Bombyx mori: one gene and its partner. The main gene of each other region encodes a partner of the protein of the gene in region 2 in a complex. Links are inferred from orthologs where the notes say so. Each region holds a gene or a part of one and is shown on either strand. Other genes may lie near its edges.

What was found.
Region 1: vam6/Vps39-like protein (region 2) and vacuolar protein sorting-associated protein 33A share a complex: the UniProt entries of both Drosophila melanogaster proteins name them as parts of the homotypic fusion and vacuole protein sorting (HOPS) complex. The link is inferred for Bombyx mori from reciprocal best matches to the Drosophila melanogaster genes Vps39 and car.

Annotation. Positions count from the first base shown.
Region 1 is NC_085122.1:6,418,093-6,420,351, reverse strand, and holds the end of vacuolar protein sorting-associated protein 33A, read right to left. Parts: intron 1,430-2,259; coding exon 1,146-1,429; 3' UTR 501-1,145; downstream 1-500. Other genes in the region: exocyst complex component 8, read left to right, coding at 1-267. UniProt on the Drosophila melanogaster protein: Core component of the class C core vacuole/endosome tethering (CORVET) and the homotypic fusion and vacuole protein sorting (HOPS) tethering complexes involved in endo-lysosomal vesicle trafficking and lysosome biogenesis.
Region 2 is NC_085124.1:8,489,232-8,493,471, reverse strand, and holds the start of vam6/Vps39-like protein, read left to right. Parts: upstream 1-1,440; 5' UTR 1,441-1,755; coding exon 1,756-1,825; intron 1,826-4,240. UniProt on the Drosophila melanogaster protein: Part of the homotypic fusion and vacuole protein sorting (HOPS) tethering complex involved in endo-lysosomal vesicle trafficking and lysosome biogenesis.

The DNA of each region.
Region 1 (2,259 bases), on a different chromosome or scaffold from region 2:
GTGAACAAAGATATGATGGATAACCTTGATGAATACATTTATACAATATTCAATTCATGGCTTGTCCTCGCATCAGTCAACGATATTAGTTATGCAAAGAAGAATTTCAAATTCATTTTAGAAACAGTGATGCCTTTAATGCTTAGATGTTATAAAGAAGAAGTTGGCTATGATAATGAGAAATTAGTAGCTTTGGCAAAGAACTATGGTGTCAGTATTACACCATCCAAAAACATCACAAAATACACAAGTAATGAATATTTATGAGAATAGTCAATAGTCTATAAATAAGATGTATGAAATTATTTATATTATGCTGAAGCTTTAAATTTGTAATATAATAGAGAGTAAGCAAGCAGAATTATGTTAGTTTATATAAATACTGATCAAATTAAATTTTATGTATATGCAAGTTACGAATATTAAGTTTTAATACAATCATTATTTATGGTGATCTGTTTAAGTGTTCTTTGAAATTGTAAAGACAAGAATAAAATATATTTCCAGTATTATGATTTTTATTACTAGTGCAGTCAATTTTGCATGTTACAAAATATAACTAGAGAAATTATCATTTCTTCGCCCATATTTAACAGCAAATTGAAGCAATAAAATACATGAAGCAACTAAACCTAATTGTATTACAATTTAATTATTTACACATCTATAACAATAAAACAAACAGAGACTTATATTTAATGTGATATATTAAAAAAAGAATCTATATTTTAAATAATAATAATAATATTTACCAGAATAATATTTTTGGTGTATTCTAAATTTGTAAATACAGGAACTTTTTAAGCAAGAAATATCATAGAATACAGCAAATTATATGATACATTGTGTACATTTATCAGTTAATATTATATGTTTCATGCTTTGTGTATTGAAAATTTATTTTACGTTTGCAATTAATTTATTTCATATATTTTTTGACATAATTACATATAAAAGGGATATAATTTGACATCTATACTATTTGGGCTTGTTTTTATTTGGAACACTATTATGTCATAAAAATAAATTCATGACATTATTTCATAATTGAATAAAAATATGATTCAGTCTATTTCTTTTTAATATGACAGAATGTATATTAATATATTATTATATCCTATGTTAAGGATACACCAATTTTTGGCTCAATCGAGTTCCATTAAAGATTCTATGAATGTGGTTCCATTGATTATTTTAGTGGTTAAGATAACAAATTCCACAACCGAATCTTCCTGCTGGCTGATCGTCCTGAGCACTGAGATCTCGTGGTACGTACAGCCTCCAATGAAGAATACGAGCACGACCCGTGGGTTTTCTATTGATGATGAATTCTCACTGGAACCGGAATGGCGACGTGTCATACGAGGTTGTAGGGTTTGTAGCTCGTCCACTGTAGGGCCCGGCAGGAGGCCTAATACGTCTTGGATACCTGTGAAAGTATAATTGTCGTATTTGTTACGTCTTCACACTCAGACCACTGAACCGATTTTGACGAAATTTGATAATGAAATAGTTCGCCTCTTTGTAAAGACTAGGCTACCTTTAATCTCACCACTGAGCATCACTACATAGTATAAAACAAAGTCGCTTTCTCTGTCCCTATATCCCTATGTATGCTTAAATCTTTAAAACTACGCAATGGATTTTGATGCGGTTTTTTTTAATAGATAGAGTGATTGAAGAGGAAGGTTTATATGTATAATAACATCCATTAAATAGTGGAGAAATCAATAATAAATTACAGTTTCCGAAGCGAAGCGAGGGCGGGTCGGTAGTATGATACCTATACGTTTGTTTTTAGTAAATGCACTCTCTTATAATGCACACAGAAGTGGAGCTGAAATTATCCATTAAAATGAATAAAACGCTTGAAGGTATATTCAGGTCTTCCGCCTTTATTGAAATCATAAAATTGATTATAGTAAAAAAAAGAAATGAATAGAAACAGAAATAAACATGGATCAATGTCAAATTTAGATAAACAATATTATTATCACTACTTATGCGTGTTTATGTTAGCTTATATGTTGGTTTATGTGTGTGTGGCTATGTATGTGTGGGCACATTTTATTATTATTATTATGTGTTTTATTTTCAATTATTATTTCACATTGATTTCCAGTTCTTAATAATTGAATTAATTTTTTTTTTAAGCATAATTTAATAGTGTTATTATTACTTATATTCCTAAATACTCAACTATCATATAAATATCATAATTAAAACTAGTTTTACGGTTTAAAGTGAATTTTACTAATG
Region 2 (4,240 bases):
TTGTATTGGTGGGAAGAGCTGGATTGGAGCTGTCTGAATTGAATTACATTGTCAATTCGGTGTTTTTCAGGAATAAATGTATAAATGATAATGGCTTAAAAAAATAAAGAAATTTACCGATTAAATTGCTTATTTATAATGGTATGCTACGGCCTCGGGCCTGTTACCAAAATGCCTCTAAGAATACTATGCGAAAAGTTGCCATTTTGTAGAAATATATATATATAGAATTGAAACGGAGGTTGTGGCGATTTTATCATGTTCGGCGTCCCAAGGACATTTCAATTTTTTTCCAATTTATTATAACAGTTGAGGTTCGCTTGTTTCGTATATGAATTTGAGCGCACAGTACTTGTAAGCACGGCTTCTAGCTTCGACTGGTATAAAGGCGGAAAAACATTAATAAAACACGACGTGACGCAACGTGTTGATACGACACCCGATATGCACCGTGCACATTACCAACACGCGACGCCACGACATATGTACTAACAATTTCTGCAATTAGTTAGCTAACAGCAGTGGAAGTGTATGGATAAGTACTATGGATTTAATAAATAACGATTTAGATAAAGACTTTGAAGAAGGTCCGATGCAAATTTTGGGTACATATTATAATATGATATTTAAACGACTCGAATAACTAGGCGTTACTGGGTGTCTGAAATAAATGTACTCCTCATTGTATGATTTTGGAACGAAGTTCCTTACGGCAGGCTTGGAGGGGATAGGGATTTTGCTGCGTGACCGAACTGAAAAAAATGTGATAATAAAACCGTAAGAAAAAATCCGTGGAAAAAAGTGCGTGGAATAAAACCGTTAAATGAGACGTGCGCAGGCGCGACAGTCGCATACACAAGCGAGTAGTGTATAATACCTTTCTCTTTCTCCCTCTTTCTTTTCGTTCTCTCATCCATTCTCTTTCTATTATTTTTTCTATTTTCTATTTCTATGTAATTTTATGTTGTCAAACAAAAATAAAGAGACATATTTTGTTATTTTAGTTGATAATTTGAATTACGATGTTTTTTTATTTTAAGTAATTTATTATTTCCTAAAATATTGAATTTCCTAAATACTTTCTTGTACTTAAATAAAAACTAATCAGGAAAATTTAAGAGAAAAATCAAGAAAACCTACATAAAATTGAGCACGATTTTTTTTGCAATTTGTGTCGATTCTACATTAGCCGAAGGAATTTCGTTCCTACCTGGTGTCCCACGACACCATAATATAATTTTTATACTTTTTTTATTTATTGCTTTTGGTAAAAAAATTGTTACTAAAGACATTATTTCCTCCGGTTTTTGAGGATCGTAGACATAATTGAAACTATTTTTACGGCTTAATTTCTCGTTATTAATTTAATTTCTATCCAGGCTACTTCCCTTTGCCTGCTTAGATGAAAAATAGGCATTATGTCAGATTTACTAGAATGTCACACACATTTATTTGTCATAATTGTAAACCTACCAAAACTTATGTATTCATACATTGCTTGTCATCATTCATAAAAATATTATTTTTTGTTTCTACTTGGTATTTACAAAAGCTTAATGTAATAAACCATAATATATCCTCCGCTTGTAGATGCACCAAATTCACTTTTGGCAATTTTATTATGGGTATTCGAAAAAAAAAGGATCTTGATAAACACAAAGTCATAGTTTCCTACGAAATGGGAGGATTCAGATTCGTGTAAGGTTTTCATCTAAACGAAATTGTTTTGTTGTTTTAATTACAAAATTGTGTAAAATGCACGAAGCGTATGAAGTTTCACATCTGCTTAATGCCACCGTGCAGATCGAAGCAATAGCTGCATTCGGTAAGATATATATACATTTTAAACAGTTTAACATATTATTTAATAAAACTTGAACAGCTTCATCTCAGATTGATTACTTTCAAATAATATGGTTTGCACTTATCTAGCACTTAGATGGAGATGAAACCTTGAAAAAAATGTCAGACTTCAAAGTACCTTGTTTTCTGTAAGCAAATAAATAAACATGTTATAATAACCGGCAAACTTCTTGAGCATTTGTTGACGTAGTGGGGGTAAGTTTGCGCATGGTACACTCACGTGCAATAACATTACTTACTCTGCGTCATAAGGCTATTAAAATTATTAAAATCAACATATGTATTTATTTATTAGAACATCAACAAAACATATAGGTTAATAATTGTAATAATTTAATCTTGGGGTAAAATAGATATTCCTTCTATTAAGTCAAAACTAGAGCTGTTGCCAGGTCTTGGTTCAGTTGAAGCGAAGCTGGTATTTGTATTTTCTTTTTCGTTATCATAATCTTGACCATCATCATCATCACTGTTTTCATCACCCGAGTCGCTATCATCGTGATGAGTCGACATAGGGCTCATCGGCGTAGTTTACAACTCGGTCGATTCGGTCTTCTTTTTTGTCTATAATTAATTATTTTTTGAAGATATTCGATTCGTAGTAATCGAATGTTACTTTTTTCATTTACCAGCTTCCGATTATTTTCTGTTCTTTTTTCCATCTGAAGCCTAGTTCTTTCATAATTCGTCGTAAGCTTCATTCCGAGCCATTCAAATTTATATCTTCTTTAAATTTTTCGAAGCCTTTCTACGGTACGGAGTTTCGCTGCTTGTTATGTAGTTATTATGATTACATCTTTTTATTACAGATTGAACGAAACTATCCATTCCGGTAACTTTCTTCTTCCCTGATCTTTTCTTACCCGGAGTCCGCAACACGGCGAGCAAGCCAGAGCCTTTAGCTTCGTTAATAATGCACCTAACAGTACTCACTGATGTTTTTGTTGCTTCCGAAGTCTGTTTTAATTTTTCCATATCATTCTTCCCCTGTTTTATAATGAAGCAATATACGTCGTACACAAATTTTCTACCCTTTCTTTTAAGTACTACACCAGTTTGTCACGGCATAGTGTATGTGTAGTGTATTAGTGAGGGTACTTGTTCTCCTTTTAATAAAAGGATTGCTAAGTGCGGGTTGCATAAAGACAGACACACAATGAACTGATTTGTTACCGAACACATGTGCTTAAGTTCTTGATTAAATAATAAAACATAATATTGGCGACGATCGTAAAATACTAATATGGAGCGTAAATCAGTAAAATTCCAAGAATTTAATGTAAAATCGGATAATTGGGACAGTTATATTGACAGACTAAAATATTGTTTTGAGGCAAATGGAATCGAAAGTGATACTGTTAAAAAGGCTAATTTCTTTACTGTGTGTGGTGCTGAAGTGGTCGAAACTGTTCTCGCGTTAATTACACCAAGAAAATCTAGTGATGTGACTTTTGTTGAAATTGAAAACATTCTAACCAAACATTACAGTCCGAAACCAAATGAAATTTCTATGTCATACAAATTCTACAAACGAGATCAGGCACCAAACGAATTGGCTTCTGATTATATTGCTACGTTACGCAAAATTAGTTCGGGATGCAATTTTATTGAATTAGAACGTATGCTTCGAGATAGACTGGTGTGCGGCATGAGCGATCATAAGCTTCAGTATGAGTTGTTGAAGAGAGAACAACTTCGTTATGAAGATGTTGTACATGCTATGGTATCATCGGAGAGCGCCGGAAAGGATGTGCGCATGATTCAAAGCACGAGCACGGACACATTTGGTATGACACAGGGTGAGGTAGTGACGTCACATGCCGAGCCTATGGAAGTGAATGTCGTCAATTTCAAACGTAATTTTCGACTGTGCTATCGCTGCGGAGACCGACACGGTGGAGAGTGTCGATATATTAATTCAATTTGTCATTAGTGTAAGAAAAAAGGGCATATTGAAAAGATATGTACATCTAAGAAAAACAACAAAAGAAAGAGCATTAACTATACAGATGATGAATTTCAAGCGCAATTAAATGGTATTTACAACGTGAACACAAATAGTCGGCGCGTACCAGCTTACGAAGTAAATGTGTTACTAGATGGTGTACCAGTGATTATGGAAGTGGACTCGGGTGCTGCCTACTCTCTTGTGAATTTACATACGTGGCGTCGAATACACTCTCACATGCCTTTGGAACCTTTGATGAATAAATTATGTACTTGGAATAATTCTGCAGTCAGAGTGGACGGTCAAGCCACAGTGCTAGTACAATATAAAGACATTAAATGTTCTCTTAAGGTTATTGTGGCTCAGGGTTCGGGTCCAAATTTGTTAGGACGTAATTGGTTTGAAGCTTTAGGAATATGTGTAAATGTA